Sus scrofa: one gene and its partners. The protein of the gene in region 1 purifies or fractionates together with the protein of each later gene. This does not show direct contact. Links are inferred from orthologs where the notes say so. Each region holds a gene or a part of one and is shown in the gene's direction. Other genes may lie near its edges.

Region 1 (4,525 bases):
AGTCCTCTCCTCCCTTTTATCAGCCTTTCTCAGTTCCTTTACGGATGTTCTCCGCTACATCTTTTCTCCCCAACAAGTGGCAATCCGTAGTAACTTTCCAAGACTCGGTTTTTTTCTCTAGTAATTGGTCACACTCTGCATTTTAAAAGATGCTAGAACCAAGCTGGTAAAGACTTTTTTCAGTTGGGAGCAGGGAAAAGCGGAGAACAGCTTAGTCCATTCACAAATAAGCATTGATTTCTCCACATTTTGAATTTTGATTCTGTTAATTATTGGTTCATGCGTATCACAGTTTATCTTCCCAAGTAGCCTATGTTTGGAGAAAAGGCGGTAGGGGATTGCTGTCACTATTTTTATTCTTTACAGTACTTTAATTTTTTAAATTTGTGTAAAAACCATAATTGTGGGGATCTTCAGCACCCCTGCCCGAGGAGCTGCGGTTGGGGGAAGGGTGGTCCTCAGTTTGACAGCGTACTTTAAGATACTCATTTCCAGGCTCGCTTCCAGAGTCTAAGTTTGTGTATTTCTTAAACGTCAAATGCCTTCTTTTCAGGCCAGAACAACCTTAGTGATGTTAAAGATTAAGAACTGCACAACCTCAGACACTGGACCCCCGTGTAATCCCCCGAGCTTTTAGACAGGTGTTAGTATTAGACTTGGAGCTAGAGAACCCTGTTTCTGTAACCACTCCGTCTGGGCACCTTACTTCCTCGTGGCGCGTCTCCCTGTCCGCAAAATGGGGATAGTCACATCTGCCTCTTACCTGTTACGTGGGGACATACGGTGGATACACAACCCTTTTAAAACTTTCTCTTTGGAGAAATCACCCAGGCTTGGTTCCTGCCCTGCTCATATGAAAGAGACCGATTTAGAACCCCCTGTTGGCCTCCCAGTGACGTAATGTCGAAGAATTTTAAATTCGGAGATGTTTCCTCAGAAAGGACAGGGGGTTAAAAACAGAACCGATTAAGTCTGGCCAGCAGCTACATCTTTTCTCCCCAACAAGTGGCAATCCGTAGTCCACTGTCTCTGGCACCTTAAGCTTTAACTTTGGGGAAACAATGAACTCTGGGCTCAGGCCTTCAGGCGAGCCAAAAAACTGGAAGTGGTTATGCCTGTTTGCAGGCCTGCGAGGCATGAGGAGATGGCGAAAGGAGAAATGAGCTGCTCTCTGGTTCACTTACAACCAGCTCGCCCTTCGTACCTAACCCAGCTAAGAGTTGCTGCCGCCATTTTGCAGGGTGGGCTGCGCAGGCTCTTGGCGCAAGGCCCGCGCTCCTGAGCGGGAGAGGACGTGGAAGGTTTGGAGGGTGGGGGAACGCGCGCTACGAGGGGGAAGTACGCGTGCGCACAGGCGGTGGCGGCGAAGTGGGTGGGACCAGGGTACGAATGCGCGTGCTCGGTGGGAGCCCGCGAAGTACCTGGAGGAGGTGGGGGGCGAGGTAGCAAGGAGTGATGTTGAAGAGCGCTTGCGCAGGAGAGAGACTGTGCGGGGAGGGGGGCTTCCGAGCACGCGCGCGGAGGCGGGACTTGAAGAGCTCTCGCGAGATCGTCAGGGTGCTATATATGTGCGCAGGGAGCCCGCGTCCTTTCCCTGGTGTGATTCCGTCCTGCGCGGCTGTTCTCCGCAACACTAGTGGATTATCTCCGTCCGCCTTCTCTCCCACCCAAGTGCGTGCCACCAACCCATGGAAGATTCGATGGATATGGACATGAGCCCCCTGAGGCCTCAGAACTATCTTTTCGGTAAGTACTGGCGTGTTGGGCCAAGGCCGAGCGCGGCCTGGTGGCTTTGGAGTGGGTGGTGGAAATCACACTGAGGCCTGGGCAGGTGGAGAAAGCTAAGCAGGCTGGAGGCCTGCGGGAGTGGGAAGCGAGCTGCTGGGGTCCTGAAGCTTAAGGATGGGGACCTGGGAGGGCGAGCCGGCACCACGGAGTGACTGGGAAGTAAGGGCGGCCTGAAGCGTGAGCGGTCCGAGGCCCAGGGCCTGAGTTAATGTGGAACCCACCGGTTTAGGGTTGGGCGTTAGCTGGGGCACGTGGTAGAGCTCCGGGCATAATTTTTTCCTGGGGTTGCGTGAGTTGGTAGGCTTCTGATTCCAGACTAGTGCCTGATGCTGGACTCCAGGTTGGTGGTGCAAGAGATTGTGGGGGATCAGGGTGTGAGACGTGGGCTTCCTATCTGGACGGAGAGGACAAATGGAGCCTGGCGTTGTCCTACAGGCCTAAAGGGTCAGGAGGTCTAGGGCCCAGACTCGGCCCGGGTTCTTCGGCCGGTTACAGGGGGATGGGAGCCGCGGCCCGGCGTGGGGAGGCCGCTACCGCTGGGAGCACGTGGTTGCCACGTGGTTGGGGGAAGGAGGGGTGTGGGCGCTACATCCGGGGTTCACTGGTGTCTTGTCACTCCGAGCCTGGGGTCCTGGGGCTTAATTGAGGATGGTGGACGGGAAATTTTAGGTGAAGTGGTTCGTAGCGCCAGTACTCTTGAGGTCTTTGTTAAGTGGTTAACATCAGTGCTGGTAGTTCTAGAGTTCTTTTTCTATCTCTCCGCGCTCTTTGCAGATGACTTACTGATACTCGGAAAACTGAAGGTTGCACTTAATAGTTCCAACCCCACAACGCTTGCTTCCAGAGCTGGTGCTTTACAAATGATTTGGGAGGTGGGCAGCAGAGGCAGCCTTCTGTTAAACTTGTAGTTCTATTACCAAGGTTTTGTTGCTCACCTCAATCACACAGTGCCATCCTAGGAGACTTGGGTTGGTTTTTCAACTTCACTAAACTTAATTGTTAAAGCCATTTTTTTTCGGTTAGGTTTTGAAGAAGTGCAAATGCCTTCAAGTTCATTTTGTTATATATCGTGCTGAGATATGTTAATTGAGCAGGAACATTTATACATCTCTTGCAGTAAATAAGTAGATGGCAATTAAATGGTATTATTTAAATTAAAATTTAGTTCTGACTATTAAAATCAGTTTGCCTATTCATGAGTGGTAATGGTAACATGCGCTATACATTAAGGGTTTTATTCTTAGCCGGTTTGAAAAGCTGGAGTTTCTGATCAGTTTATATCAAAAACGTTTGTGTTTACCCTCGGAAATATCCCTGGGATATTTCTAGTTTTGCCTTAGATATAATTTCTGAACAGAGTTTATATATATCACTTGTTAGTTCAGAGATGGATTGTGGACCCGTGTAACAACCTTTAGTTCTCCTACTTTGTAGTCTTTCTGTGTTGTAAATACAAGCTGTCGATGTATGTGTTTGTGTAACCACTGTCATTTCTAAATTGGCACTCCTCCTGGGAGTTGGGGTAGGTAATTCAACTTTTTAAAATAGTGGGGTTTTTATCAACATATGTTAGGTTTGGTTTAAGTTCCAGCTTTTACTAAATCTTTGATACTGTTTCCACCTAAGAAGAGTGTAGTTGAGCATAAAATAGTATGATGGAAAGGAGGAATTTATAAAACTATGAAAGTTATTTGCTCTATATGGATGTTATTTGATGTTTATAGACTTGTGTGTTCAAGAAGGCCTGTAAGAGGTACTTCTGCCTTGCTTTTTGGTAGCTAGAATAGAATAGTAAAATCAAGTAACTTTTGGTTACCCACAGTGACGTTTCATTCAGTGTTATTTTTCTCCTTGTTATAGTAGGGTTGTTTCCTCATTTACAGGTTGTGAACTAAAGGCCGATAAAGATTACCACTTTAAGGTGGATAATGATGAAAATGAGCACCAGTTATCTTTAAGAACGGTACGTAAAACTTTTCAAGACAAAGTACTCTCGATTTCAGACACCGCTTAATTTGTGTGGCTTAACATTAGAAAAGTATTTCTATAGTTGTTGTATATGCTTGGTTTTCCACGTGTGTTATAGAAAACCTGCCGTCTTTACCACTCATTTGATATTTTGAACAGTCCAATCACACTGTTCAGCTTTCCTTATTTTCACTGTTACTGTTTCTCTATTTGCTTTTTAGGGCCGCCCCTATGGCATATGAAAGTTCCTAGGCTAAGGGTCAAATTGGAGCTGCAGCTGCCGGCCTACACTGCAGCAACACAGGATCCGAGCTGCCTGTGCAAATCTGCACTGAAGCTCCTGGCAACATGGGGTCCTTAACCCACTAAGGGAGGCTGGGGATCAAACCCGCATCCTGATGGATACACATTGGGTTGGTAATCCAATGAGCCACAATGGGAACTCCCCAGCTTTCCTTATTGTGTCATCTACTTTTCTTGAGTTGTATTAAAAACTCTTTAGGGTAGTGACAAATATACATCTTGTTCCCCAGAGACTAGGCTATAGCCTACTACTTAAATTGTAGGTGGCCGGTAAATGTTAGGCGATTCATACTGTGAGTTAACAGTGGTGATGGCATAAGTATGTGTCATCAAATGCATTTTAGTGTATTTGTTCAAAGTTACTGAGTATGAGACTAGGGTCACATAAAACTTGAAGACAACTTTGAGCTCGTCAGTTTTCCATCAGTGGTAATAATGGAAGATGAATAATTATTCTGTATTTTAA
Region 2 (4,700 bases), on another chromosome or scaffold:
ACGTGCCCCTGGGCATGGTGAGATTAGATATTATTATCTCCATTTCAGAAACGAAGGAATAGAGTACAAAGTGACCAGAAATCCTTGCCGAAGGGAGTTCCCGGTTGTGGGTCAGCACAAATGAACCAACTAGTATACATGAGGATGTGGATTCTATTGCTGGCCTCACTCAGTCCTTCCCAGATCCAGCGTTGTCAGATCTGTGGCAGTTGCGATGAGCTGTGATGTAGATCGCAGACATTTCTGGGATCCAGTGTTGCTGTGGCGTAGAGGGGGTAGCCTTAGCTCCGATTGGACCCCTAGCCTGGGAACTTCCATATGCCAGAGAATGCGGCCCTGAAAAGAGAAGAAAAAAAAAAGCACAGCCACAGCAACGCAAGATCTGAGCAGGCCTGCCACCTACACCACAGCTCAGGGCAAGGCCAGATCCCCCACCCACTGAGCGTGGAACTATCGATTCATTTCCCTGTGCCACAACAGGGAACTCCCAGAACAACTATGCTCTTTGATGTCTCCATACCTCTTGCATTTATTCTTCCAGTTGCCACTTTCATCTGCCAGATTTGTGCTTATTTTTTCCAAATCCAACACAAAAACATCTCCCGCAAAACTTTCCAAATCCTCCCAGAAGAAGTGATTTATTAATTTTTCTATTTTTTTTTTGGTCTTTTTTGCCTTTTCTACGGCCACTCCCCACGGCATGTGGAGGTTCCCAAGCTGGGGGTCTAATCAGAGTTGTAGCCACCGGCTTACCCCAGAGCCACAGCAATGCGGGATCCCAGCCGCATCTTCGGTTTACACCACAGCTCACGGCAACGCCGGATCCTTAACCCGCTGAGTAAGGCCAGGACCAAACCCGCAACCTCCTGGTTCCTAGTCGGATTCGTTAACCACTGAGCCACTACAGGAACTCCTATTTCACTTACTTTAAATTTTAGTTTTGACCCTCTACTTTTAAGCTTTAGGGGGTGTAGGCAGTAGGCAACTGTGGAGAAAATGTCTGTGGAAGGTCCCTTTCATCGGAGGGATTTCGTTTAAATTGAGGATTAGGTCCTTCAACCATCTATACCTTCTTATATTGAAAATGGTAGTGCTTCCCCTCCACTTTTCCGCCCATGGAAGCTTCCTAGGATCTGCATATAGAAGTTTCTCGAATCGAATCCAAGACACAGCTGCTACCTACTCCACAGCTGTGGCTACTCGGGACCCACTGCGACCGGGCTGGGAATAAAATCCTAGCTGCTGCAGAGACAACGCCAGCGGGAACTCGTTGGTAGTGTTTTCTAATATATTTGGTAAGCAAAATATAAAAAGTTGCAACTTTATGCAGGTTCCCAAAATTACTCTGAGAATTTTATTGGGCTATTAAATGAGGCTTTTTCAGACAAAACGTTCTCCGCTTTCGCCTCCTATTAAGAAAAACAGCTCCGTATACAGGACAAAGGTGGGAAACTACACTTCCCATCATGCCTCAGATCCGGAAGGAAATGAGACTCCACACCTCCCGTGATCGCTTATAGACCGGAAGCTGAGGCCTTAGTTCTCTTTCCCATCTTGCAAGGTAAGAATGGCGGGGTTCTCTGCAAGACTCGATTTCAGGACCCCTATCCTTCGCCATCCTAACTCGGAGGGTATCAAGTCGACATCTGCGGGGTGTCGGACGCGTCAGGGCCAACTGGGAGACCTCCTAGACGCTTATTTATCTCGCTTGGGTTTACAATGGGGCACGTAGAGGGTGAAGCGGAATGCCGAATAGGCTCTGGCAGCCCGGCACCCTCCCGGACTGAAGGAATAGGTCCCTCCAGGGATCCGTAGCGGGCTAGTGGGCTTCAGGGGCCAGGGCGACAGCGCGCGTTCCGGAATCTCGAGTTTGGGTTCCAGAAGACGCCGCCGAGCTTGTCCCAGCCACGTTGTGTATTTGAGTCTGTGGCCAATGCTGATTTTCCCGTCTCCACGTCTGTGACCGGAAGTCGCTCCTTGCGCTTTGCGCTTTTTTCAGTTTGGGCAAATCGTGTGTGTCTTCGCCTTCTAAACAGAATTTCTTGAGTGAGACAGTTTGATAAAAGCAAAAGCCCTGAAAGCAAATGATTTCAAGTTCTATCTTCGGCATCCTAACTGGAGATTGGTAAAGCTCTGTTTCTGGACTTCTAGTTCGCAAAAGAGGAATGGAATAGGGACTTGTGACTGCTAAATATGCAGCAAGCACCTAACAGGTGTGGGATAGTCTTCAGTCTTCAGATCGTCCAAAAAGTTACAGTGTATTGGGGAGACAACCGTGATGGATGTTGCAGACGTGGGAATTTGGAGGAAGGCCTATGGTCTTGTAGTGGGAGGGATGTAAAGGATGTTAACAGCTAGTTGAAGAGGGAGGATGAGGACTTGTCCCCTAGGAAGTCTGTTCATGTACAGCTCTGAGATAAATGGTGAAATACCTTCTTTAAAATGTACCCACTGGTAGATGGCGGGTGAAAAAGCTGAGAAGCCAGGAACTAAGGAGAAAAAGCCTGAAGCCAAGAAGGCTGATGCTGGTGGTAAAGTTAAAAAGGCTAAGAAGGTTAAGAAGGGGAAGCCCCACTGCAGCCGAAACCCTGTCCTGGTCAGAGGAATTGGCAGATATTCCCGATCGGCTATGTATTCCAGAAAGGCTTTGTACAAGAGGAAGTATTCAGCAGCTAAATCCAAGGTAAGGGATGAGGGGAACCACTGACCATTTGGTCTTGAAGTGTGCGACTCTGACTTTTTGATGCATTTGTGCCCTGATAGGTTGAAAAGAAAAAGAAGGTGAGAGTTCTTGCTACTGTCACAAAACCCGTTGGTGGTGACAAGAATGGTGGTACCCGAGTTGTTAAACTTCGAAAAATGGTAAGATTTCTGGAATATTGTAAGTTGACTGTTCCGCCAAAGTTTGAAACTTGTGTGGGGTTTTAGAAGTTTTTGTTTACCAGAGATTTACTAATGGAGAATAGTGTGAGTTCTGAGTTTGTGCAACTTGACATTATTCAGAGTTAAGTTTCCGTGCTTTGGTTCTTGTAAAACAGGAATAAAGGTTTGCCTCACAGGGTTGCTGTGAGACTTTAAAATGAGAGCCTAGGAAGCGGCCAGGCCTGTAGAACGTGTATCCCCTAGAGCAGTGTGTCTTGGCCCCTCTTTACTGTGCACAAGACCCAACATTTTCTCTGTGAGGAAGAAAGGTTCGCTCTGTGATTTCTATTATGGGAATATTCCCAGATATAGTACACTTCCCAGTTGAATGATAACTGCACCAGAATGAAAATGGCACTTTGGTCTCATCTTGTCACAGGTTTTTGTGAGCTGTTTTTAAATTAGGTATTAAATGCTTGTGGTAAAAGCAGGACTGTCCACTAAAATAATAAGAGTTAGAAACAGGTGTTATCGTGAGGTTAGCAAAATAGGTTTTATGGGGGCAGTCTTATTACAATAAATGAACTGACAGTCCTGATCTAAACTAATGTCTTTGTTTTTCTTTCTGGACAAGATGGGAATAATGCATGATAACGTGAAGCATCTGGACCTTTTTTTTTTTTTTTTGGTCTTTTTTGCCTTTTCCAGGGCTGCTCCCACGACATGTGGAGGTTCCCAGGCTAGGGGTCTAATTGGAGCTGTAGCTGTGGCCTACACCACGGCCACATCAACGCCAGAGCCGAGCAGAGTCTGCAACCTACACCGCAGTTCATGGCAATGCTGGATCCTTAACCCACTGAGCGAGGCCAGGGATAGAACTTGCAGCCTCATGGTTGCTAGTCAGATTTGTTAACCACTGAGCCACAACAGGAACTCCTGAACACACTTTGAATTGGAAAATAAATCATGTCCTTTTCATAACATGCAGAATGTGTCGGGCATGTGTTTCTGAAGAAGTGTAGTTTACATTAGAGGTTGGGAACCCCAGAAAAGCTTGAGAGTCAGTGCTACACGGACAATGTATAATGAATAGCTTGTCATGTAATCACTAAAATTTTATTTAATCCCGAATTTACAAAGGTAACTTGCTTGAACATTTAATCCTTCAATTAAGTGAATTCAACCCTATGTTTTGCCTTTAAAGTTGTAGAAGCAGGGAGGTCCCATTGTGGCTCAGGGGTGACAAACCATACTGGGATCCATGAGGACATGAATTCATTCCCTGGCTTTGCTCAGTGGGTTAAGGATCCGGTGTTTCTGTGATCTGTGGCGTAGGCTGGAAGCTCCAGCTCAGATTCAGCCCCTAGCTTGGGAACTTCGACATGCCATGGTGCAACCCTAAAAAGCAAAAAATAAAATAAAGCTATAGAAGCAGAAATAACCTTTTTCATCTTTAAAATTATGGAAGTGAGAATGCAGTGGTTTTTTGGGGGTTTGTTTTTTTGTTTTGGGGGTTTTTTTTGTTTGTTTTTGGTCTTTTTGCCTTTTCTAGGGCCGCTCCTGAAGCATATGGAGGCTCCCAGGCTCAGGGTCGAATCAGAGATGTAGCCACTGGCCTACCCGAGAGCCACAGCAATGCCAGATCTGAGCTGCGGCTGCAACCTACACCACAGCTCATGGCAATGCCAGATCCTTAACCCACTGAAGCAAGGCCAGGGATCAAACCCGAAACCTCATGGTTCCTAGTCGGATTTGTTAACCACTGAGCCACGACGGGAACTCCTGCAATGTTATGAATAGTGTTTCAGGTAACTTAAGAGGGTATAGCAAGTTTTGCT
Region 3 (4,736 bases), on another chromosome or scaffold:
CCTCGAGATCTTGTGGTTGGACACGCCGCAATAAAATTGATACTAGATATTAACAGGAGAGAAAGAAACAATTTTAATTCATGAGCCTGGAGGTCTCATAGAAACGGCACCTAAGAAGTGGCCAAAGCAGACAGCTTTTACACTTTTTAGACAAAGAAACAATAAATTTATGAGGAACTGACAGGATAGAGAAACGCTGGTTCCCAATTAGTGAAGGCTCAAGTAGAATTTGGACTTGGGGTACTAAATTAAAGTACGGTTTATGCATCCTTAGCCAAGAATTCTCTCTCTTTGGTGATAATGGTGTCCTTCTACCCCCAAATGCAGGGAGTGCACATTTCACATGAGAGATTTATTTCCTGCTTTCAGGGAAACAGAAAGAAGTGTTAGAGAGTTCCCCTTGTATTGACCATGTCTTCAGTAAACATTAATTCAAAATAACCAATATGCCATTCAGGCACATTTTGGGGTGGCCCACCCTGGGCCCTCAAACCGTGAAAATAAGTCCCAGAGAGAATAAAGCTCGGTGATCCAGGAGGGGGCCTAAATCAGGACCATGTACACATTTGACGACAGGTATTTGTAACGTAAGTATAAATATGAATCATGTATCAATACAAACGTAAAACAGGCACCAAATAAGTTTTTTTTAAAAGAAATAATCGTCATGCATTCAAAATTTTTAGACATCTTACAAAATCAAATTTTATTTTTGTCTTTTTGCCTTTTCTAGGGCCGCACCCGCGGCATGTGGAGGTTCCCAGGCTAGGGGTCTAATCGGAGCTGTCGCCGCCAGCCTACTCCAGGGCCACAGCAACGCGGGCTCCGAGCCGCGTCTGCAACCTACACCACAGCTCAAGACAACGCCGGATCCTGAACCTACTGAGCAAGGCAAGGGATCAAACCCGCAACCTCATGGTTCCTAGTTGGCTTCGTTAACCACTGCGCCACGATGGGAACTTCACAAAATCAAATTTAAAAATATTTTAAAATAAATTTTTTTAAACTAATAGCTCACAAATGAAATTTTCAAAAATGTAGCCAGATTTCCAAAACTTATATTTCCAAAGTTAGGTTACATTTCCAAACTTCAATTTGAAATCTTCAAATCCCTAAGTTAAATTTTGAAAAATAATTAAAATTTCAAAACTCAATTAATTAATTAAAAAAACTGAAATTTAAGTAAACTTTACAAATTGCGTCATCCCCCAACCTGAGTCGCACCTGAGCCCCTTGGGTAAAATACTATGTTGTGTTCTTGCTAGAACACAGAGTCCTCCAAAATTTCCGGAAGAGCCCTCCTCATCCCATCTTTTTACATTTCACCAAGGAGTTCTGTACTGTAAGTTGTACTTGGTGGTCTACCTCTCCAGTTCTGCCTCTTCAGCTCAGGAGTCAAGTCATTTCGCCTCTCCTAATCCTCTGATGCTGCTCCCTTGCTTCGAATCTCCCGGCTGACCCGGGGCCCACTTCCGCCGTCGCCGTTAGGCCTGGAACCGCCCGTTCCGAACAATCCTGTTCTTTCATTTGTCAACCCCTGGACAAACCCCGCCCCCTCGACGCAGGAAGTCGTAAACGGTGCGCGTCAGAGGCGCGGCGCCTTACGGCTGTCTTGCTTTACTTACCGGCAAGCATGGAGGCAGAGGAGTCGAATAAGGAAGCCGCTGTGTTGGAGCCTGTGGAAGGGAACGACCAGAAACCAGAAGCAGAGGAGGAATCTGAAGAAACGGCTGGCGGCAGCAAGAAACGGGTAGTGCCGGGTATTGTGTACCTGGGCCACATCCCACCCCGGTTTAGGCCTTTGCACGTACGGAACCTTCTTAGCGCCTACGGCGAGGTCGGGCGTGTGTTTTTCCAGCCGGAAGGTAAGTGCTGAGGCAGTGGTGATGAGGGGTGGAGGGTGATGCTTGCAGATGGTGAGCACACAGTGCGTGTCCTGTTGCCTCGGCTGCGCGGATCCCAGGCACGAACCGAGCCGGGGCCCCGCGTGTGGCTTTTTTAGTAAATAGGTAGTCCACACTTTCCTTAGGAGGTGGGCCTGAGGTGTGGTTAGCGCAGTATGACTAGTTGAGCCTTAGTTTTCGAATAGCTAACTTTTAGATTTTAATTTCGGCTTCCCCAATCCCTCTTTCCCGAGACGAATTTACCAGTTTGTTAAATGGGTATAGCCTGCAGTAAAATCCCAGTGGCTTTTCCACAAAACTGAACATAACCCTTTGCCATCGCGGTCCAGGTCAAAAGACGGTATACGTACGGTCAGCCGTCTGCAACTTCTTATAACCCTAAATTGGAATTAGGGTTAGAGGGCCATGCTGGTTTTATATAGAATGTTCAGGGCAGATCTGATTAAGGAGTTGACATCTGAGCAAAGGATTGAATTAGACAAGGGAGAAAGGGTGGACCTTTCAGTTCTCCTTTTCTGAGCAAAGATCTTGGGGTGGGATCCTGGCCCTTGGGCAGATTTGGAGACTTCGGCAAGTGGAAGGTACAATTGAGTGGGTGCTGCGTCGGCTTGCTTGACCACTGCTCTCCCTTTGGCTCGCAGACGGCTTCGTGAGGCGCAAAAAGAAGGCAGCAGCAGCCTCCACCACAGGAGGGAAAAAGCGTTCCAAGTACAGCAAGGACTACACCGAGGGCTGGGTGGAGTTCCGAGACAAGCGAGTAGCCAAGCGTGTGGCGGCCAGTCTGCACAACACGCCCATGGGCTCCCGCAGGCGCAGTCCCTTCCGTTATGACCTGTGGAACCTCAAGGTGAGGGCATTGGCTTGTCTACCCCACAGCTCATACTCCTGCCTTCCCAGCCCCAGCCCTTGGACCTCTATAACCTCTCGGTGGCCCTGTTCCTCCCATCTCTTCTCCATCTCTGACCTGCCCTACCCAGATCTTCTCTTGTTTTCCTGTCCACAGTACCTGCACCGTTTTACTTGGTCCCACCTCAGCGAGCATCTTGCCTTTGAGCGCCAGGTGCGCAGGCAGCGCCTGAGGGCGGAGGTTGCCCAGGCCAAACGTGAGACTGACTTCTATCTTCGAAGTGTGGAGCGTGGACAGCGTTTCCTTGCTGCTGATGGGGACTCTACCCGCCCGAATGGCTCCTGGGCCTTCGCCCAGCGTCCTACTGAGCAGGAGTTGAGAGCCCGGAAAGCAGCTCGGCCAGGAGGACGTGAACGGGCTCGCCTGGCTAATGCTGAGGAACAGGCCCGCTCCAATCGAGGGCTTCTTGCCAGGATCTTTGGAGCCCCTGCACCCTCAGAGAGCTTGGAGGACTCCTCTCTGGTCAGGAACTCTTGAGGGGCAGAGAGGCTTCTTCCACCTCTTAGCCCAGCCCTGCATCCTGTCTACATGATATTTACTACCCAGGTGGACATTTTATTGTGTTTCTCAGCAGGAGTCTCTGATGCGTGCTCAGGCATAGGAGTGTTGTCAGCCTCCCCAAACTCCTGTACATGCCTGGCTGGGGCACTTAGTTCCTACTAGCATGATTATAACTACTGTAGACGCCTGTTTTGTCTTGTTTGATTCTTAGCTGCCTGCCTCCTGCCCATCGAAGCCCTCTAAAAATCCTACTTTCTGGCTCCAGAAAGAGCTCTTGCTTTGAGCTAGAGTGATAATGGCTGGTCTAGACAGCTGTTTACCAGCCACAGGTACTGGGTAGCAATGATATCCTTTTTATTTAGAAAAGACTAATAGGGACAGGGACTAATGAGGTAGGAGTGGCGTGGGTGACCCCTTCCAAATGTATTTATAGAAAAGAAAAAAGTATATATTTGATATGCCTTTGTAGTTTATAGGGGGTGGGGATGGTCATTGGATAAGTTCCACCTTCTTTCTGTGTACTGGTCACTCACCTTCACGCCATGTCCTGGTCTAAGAGTCTCCCCTGCTCCCCAACCTTTTCTATATAATCACTTTCGTAGGCCATGTTGTTAATCCTTATTGATTTCAGCATTTACTAAATCACTGTGTGAGGATATAGAGTGACAGTGGGTAATAACACATGGCCCTTCTACTAAAAAAAGACAGGTGTTTAAGAAATAAGTATACAGAAGTACTACAGATACCATGGTAGATGTGCATAAGGGGTAGAGTGGGGCCATGGGAGGGAATGGTTGGCTTTTTCTGGGAAGTTAGACAGTGCTCTCAATGTGTTGTTGATTTCTGATCATTCTTCTGAGATAGGTCAGTTTTCACCATGTTTTTCAGATCATTCCTGAAAGGTGAACAGAAGTCTGTAAGGGCCTAGTGAACTCTTAACATTATAAACAAAACTCTAGATGGAGTGTTGGGTTCAAACCATTGTAAAGACAGGGAATGCCTAAGAGGTAGTTGTGCACAAATGATGCCCATCTGTTGCGCTTGTACATGGTGCCTCTGCTTAGGCAAGAGAGGGGTGACAATCATGCAGAGCAGCTCTGGAGGTGACAAAGAATCCCTGTAAGCCACTAAGAGGAACTGAAAACTGAGGTGTCATGACCAACTAAGAAAAGTCTGCAAACAGCCTCATAATAGATTAAAACTCTGGTCAGTATTCAGGCTTTTAAGTTTATAGAAAATGTTAGAGTGAGAATAAATAATTTGAGTTTTGCTTGTGCTGTGTTTTTTTTTCTTCACTGTCATCAATATAATTATCCGTATGGTCTTTGGATGAAGTGGATTCATCCACTTTGGCTCTAAAATAACTTAGCCATGTTAAGATCTCAATTTGACAGGTGTAATATATTCAGGAGAATAAAGATGAC
Region 4 (4,651 bases), on another chromosome or scaffold:
AGGTTAAGGATCTGGCCTTGCTGTGAACTGTTGGGTAGGTCACAGACATGGCTCTGATTCTGCATTGCTATGGTGTAGGCTGGCAGCTGTAGCTCCAATTGGACCCCTAGCCTGGGAACTCCACATACCCAGGGTGCAGCCCTAAAAAGCAAAAAAATAAAATAAAATAAATAATAATACACAAACTCATTTTAGAAAAATAAAAAAAGAGAAACAAAAATGAATTAGGTAATATACATCAACAACAATCACTTTCAATAATTTTAGGACTATCCTTCCAAAGTTTTATCTATATTTTTGAACTGTTAAAATTTTTTAGTTACTACTATATAATAAACTTTTTTCTACAGTCTGGTTGTTACAAGTTAATAATAATTCACTTTGTGGTATACAACAGTTTTAAAATCAAACTTTCAATGTTGGACTATATTGTGCTAGCATTTCTCAAGTACATATAAAGACGATGATGATCATCATTTATATAGTTTTCTTTTTATCTATCCTTGGGGGTTCCCTAGAGTCTCAGACAGGGCATTTCTAATAGGCTGGGGAACATTCTTCCAGATCTCAAAGAATTATCATTGAATTGGTTAAAAGTTTGCAGGTTAAATATTCAAAGGAAATCCCTTCTGTTTGTAATTCAGCATAGTCAATGGTTTGGTCAAACCTTGACTCTTGACAAGTTTGTCTCCTTTATTCAATACGTACTAATAGAATATTGGATATGGGGATATAAAGATGAGTAAGAGCCTATGCAGGGCAAATAACAATTTAGTGCAGTATGCAGATTTGCTGTCAAATAGAACACCATGTGCTTAAATTCTGCAGTAGGTGGATGCAAAAGGCTGTGTTGAACATAGCGTAAAGCAATGTACAAACCAGTGATTACTTGTAACACTTTTTTAGAAGAATGTCTGTTTTTATTTAATATTTGGTGGTTGAGGAAAAGATATAACCTATTACCTCTCTTTCTTATCTGCTAATTACTCTTGTTTCTCACATGGTGGTTGGCGCAGTTTGCTTACTTTTAGCATGTAAACTTAGAGGAAATATCGTCTAACTCTACCGAAGAAGGAATTTAGAAATGATCAATCATATAGCTAACATAAGGATGACAAAACAAACAAAAATCACACTAACAGGCACTCTTCTTAGACAACAAAACAGTGAGACGTCAACTGGGAAAACCGTATCATTGTCAACTCTGTGGCGTCACGCCAATAAGCGGAGGCGGTAAAAGAGAGGCCTGCAGAAGCCTCTACGCTGCAGCAGGCGGCGCAAGACCCGGGCAATTTTTCGAGCAGCGCTGGGATTACTGCCAAGCTGGGGAAGCACAGCGACCCGGCACAGCGAGCCGTTAAGAACGACTGTAAGACTGCGGTGGCGTCACGCCCGGAAACCGACGCACAAACTTACGTCTCCGAGCCCTCCTTTGAGGCCCCGCCCACTCATCGCCCTAGAGCCCGTAGGGGCACAGGGGGCGTGGCCAAGAGCTTGGAGTAGAGAATGCGCATGCGTACTTTGAAACCCCGGTCTCTTAGCTAACTATCAATCTCGCGAGTGTTGAAAGTCGGTGGCGTAGGTAGTAGACCTGGATGCTGGCGAGATACCTGATATCTACCAGAGGAAGAAGAGGAGGCGGCTAGGCTAGTTCCTGGTCTTGGTCCTTCTTGCTTTCCTTTCTTTTTCCCCCAACTCTCCGCCCTCCTGTAAATCGGCCTGCCTTCTCTGACCTCAGTGACCCGGGTGGCCCCGCCCACCCTCGTCGACGTGATTCCCGCCGTGAGGTAAAGCGCCGGTCGAACCCAGAGCCGGGAGGAAGAGGAGGACAGCTAGAGGGGGAGGCTCCTGGGCCTGGCTTGGGCTCGTCGCCGAGCTGCGGAGAGGAAGCATTCGGGTGGTCCTTCCGCTCCTCCATCGGCTCACTGCGACGTAGCCACCCAGGCCTAGGCCTCCTCCTCATCCCTGCTGGGCCGGGCCTCTGGCAGCAGCGGGTGACGCAGACGGAACATCATGTCGTCCGCGGCCGACCCTCCGCCACCCCCGCCTCCCGAGAGCGCGCCTTCCAAGCCCGCATCCTCCGCCGCCTGTAGCGGGAGCAACAACAGCAACAAAGGCGGCCCCGAGGGCTTCGGCGTCCCGGCGGCTCCCTCCGCGGCCGGCGCCGGCCCCACGGACTCCGAGATGGAGGTAAGGACGGCCTGTGGCATGGGGAGAGGGCGGGATAGGGAGGAGGAACTGGTTCCCTCTGCTGTGTATTGGTGATAAAACGCGAAGCCGAACTTCACTCCTCTGCACCCAAACTCGGCCTCAGACCCTTGGATGATCCGAAATGATGCTCTCCCTTGCGCCCTTCTGCTTACCTATGCAAGTAGACTCAGCTGGGTCTCTGGCACCTCATATTTGCGTTATTTGTCTCTTTCGCGAACCTTGCCAAATCCTCAAACGCTCTTATTAGACACATGTTCTTGATTACTGAGGCCGAGACGGATCTGCCGACTTTTTTTTTTAAGTGAGGCTCCCATAATTCCCTCGCCCATCTCTGAATCTCGATTTTAGTTTCCACTAAACCTGGGGGGAGGGGGAGGGAGATTTCCCTTTAGGAACGAGGGTAGACGGACGGGGTGGGGAAGGCATTTAAAAGCAGCGCATCCGAGGATTTGGGCCTCCTTTTCTTCATCCCGGTCCTTGCGGGGGCGGTATCTGTTCTGGGCAGAAACAATGGCGAGAGCTGGATGGCTGAGGGCGCAGTGGGGATAAGCGGGGCGCAGCTGCTCCTGTGAAGGGAGAGGAGGCTCCTCCCAGGCGCTGTTCCATTGGGAGGGAAGCGACCAAGGCAGCGGCAGCTGTCTGGAACCCCCATCTAATTTGGGGGTGGGGTGATGGATGGAAGGATGAATGATTTAGTGAGTCAGGGGTTGGGGGGGGGTTGGGGGTTTTCAGACCAGCACTCCTGTAGGGCATTGGCCTGTATTTGAGAATTGGTACCCCTCCCTGCCGCGGAGCCTGCCTTCTGGGCTGGGGTTGGCCGGCCAGGGGATGGTGACAATACTGCGGGGGTGGAAAGATTGGGGAACAGCCAGGCGGGTCTCTTGGGTGTGCTCCAAGGCTTTGCGATGTCTGGGAACAAAGTGATTGCTTGCTCCTTCCAAATTTTATTCTTGGCTTTCGATCTGTTTTGATATATGTTATAGTCGCAGGCCAGAGATTTCTGGGACTTTTCCATCCTTAGATAGATTGAGCTAAGGTAATACTGCTTTAAAAATGAACATTGCTGCAGAATTAACGCAATAAGGAAATGGTAGCGCGGTTTACCATTGAAGCATTTGGCGCAGTAGTTTTATTTGGGCCCCAGCGGTCTAGTCTAGGATGAAGTAACACGTTAGTTTTTGGAAGAACTTTTAGGTGAAGGTGGACCTCGATAGAATAGGACTTCTGGTATTCTGTAGTTTTCGGTGTCTTGAGATTTGTTTCAAATTCCTGTCTGGTGTTGCCTATTTTTCTCTTTAGGTTTTAAATCGTTTTTTGAATTATCAGGGTTAACGTGGATTCCTGCTTCCTGGCCTAAGGGGGTTTGAAAGTCTGACATTGAAAGCAATTGTATGTAAATATACCGTTCTGAACAAATTGATGTTTTGCTGTTCTCAGCTTCTCAAAGGGGGCTGTCATTCAAATTTTGGAATAACAAGCACAGTCTCACTAGGGGTGTTACAGAATCAGAAAGCAGAATAATTTAAAGCCTAAACTGAATATTTTGGCTTCAGTTGCTATTTTTAAAGTTAAAGTGGAATAAAAGTTTAACTATGATTATTAAGGATATAACAAGGACCATATGAAGTCAGTGGTATTTTTATTTGCCAAATGAGAAAATTGAGTCTTCTGGTAAGTAGAACCTGTGATAGAACCCAGGTCTGGCTCTGAAGCTGACCATTTCCCCACGTATCTTGCCCTGTCATAGTCTTAAAAAAAGATGTTTGACAATTTTTATTTATTAAAGAATGATTTAGTTATCTTTTACCTTCTCAGTATAGGAATATCAGTAGTTTTATCCACCTTTTCACTGAATAGTTTTAGTTTTTGTTTTTTCCCTTACATTATAGGGTGGTTTTTCTTTTTTTCATTTTGGGGGGGGGGTCTTAAAAAAAAAAATACCTTCAGTCTCTTCTTTTTCCTTAACTGAATTTAGAAATCATTGAAGTTCACTGGTTAAAAACTAGATTTCTGCATACATGTGTAACGTATCTGACAATCTGTTTCACAACTTAAAAAAATATTTTAGGAGTTCCCGTCATTGCGTAGTGGAAACGAATCTGACTAGGAATCATGAGGTTGCAGGTTCGATCCCCCTGGCCTTGCTCAGTGGGTTAAGGATCCGGCAATGCCAGGAGTTGTTGTGTAGGTTGCAGACACGTCTCAGATCTGGAGTTAACTATGGCTGTGGTGTAGGCTGGCGGCAACAGCTCCAATTAGACCCCTAGCCTGGGAACCTCCATGTGCCACGAGTGCAGCCCTAAAGAGACAAAAAAGACAATAAAAAATAAAAAAATTAAAGAAATAAAAAGTACTTTCAAATGTCTTTTTCTTGTTTGAAAGTAGAATTTAAGGTGAGTTTTACCAAAATCATTTATTTTCTGACAAAGCGCACTGTCCT

The links. Proteins that work in one complex are often made in the same cells at the same time.
Region 2: the proteins of NPM1 (region 1) and RPL6 purify together in Homo sapiens (affinity purification with mass spectrometry; 4 studies listed by BioGRID and IntAct, with this or other methods). This does not show direct contact. The link is inferred for Sus scrofa from reciprocal best matches to the Homo sapiens genes NPM1 and RPL6.
Region 3: the proteins of NPM1 (region 1) and ABT1 purify together in Homo sapiens (co-immunoprecipitation; 3 studies listed by BioGRID and IntAct, with this or other methods). This does not show direct contact. The link is inferred for Sus scrofa from reciprocal best matches to the Homo sapiens genes NPM1 and ABT1.
Region 4: the proteins of NPM1 (region 1) and SMARCA5 purify together in Homo sapiens (co-immunoprecipitation; 3 studies listed by BioGRID and IntAct, with this or other methods). This does not show direct contact. The link is inferred for Sus scrofa from reciprocal best matches to the Homo sapiens genes NPM1 and SMARCA5.

What each region holds. Positions count from the first base shown.
Region 1 is NC_010458.4:52,778,809-52,783,333, reverse strand, and holds the start of NPM1 (nucleophosmin), read left to right. Parts: upstream 1-1,471; 5' UTR 1,472-1,688; coding exon 1,689-1,746; intron 1,747-3,671; coding exon 3,672-3,751; intron 3,752-4,525. UniProt on the Homo sapiens protein: Involved in diverse cellular processes such as ribosome biogenesis, centrosome duplication, protein chaperoning, histone assembly, cell proliferation, and regulation of tumor suppressors p53/TP53 and ARF.
Region 2 is NC_010456.5:39,300,905-39,305,604, forward strand, and holds the start of RPL6 (60S ribosomal protein L6), read left to right. Parts: upstream 1-1,542; 5' UTR 1,543-1,561; intron 1,562-2,458; coding exon 2,459-2,683; intron 2,684-2,763; coding exon 2,764-2,862; intron 2,863-4,700.
Region 3 is NC_010449.5:21,023,063-21,027,798, forward strand, and holds the start of ABT1 (activator of basal transcription 1), read left to right. Parts: upstream 1-1,578; 5' UTR 1,579-1,633; coding exon 1,634-1,865; intron 1,866-2,545; coding exon 2,546-2,751; intron 2,752-2,907; coding exon 2,908-3,288; 3' UTR 3,289-4,736.
Region 4 is NC_010450.4:84,221,786-84,226,436, reverse strand, and holds the start of SMARCA5 (SWI/SNF-related matrix-associated actin-dependent regulator of chromatin subfamily A member 5), read left to right. Parts: upstream 1-1,493; 5' UTR 1,494-2,013; coding exon 2,014-2,190; intron 2,191-4,651. UniProt on the Homo sapiens protein: ATPase that possesses intrinsic ATP-dependent nucleosome-remodeling activity.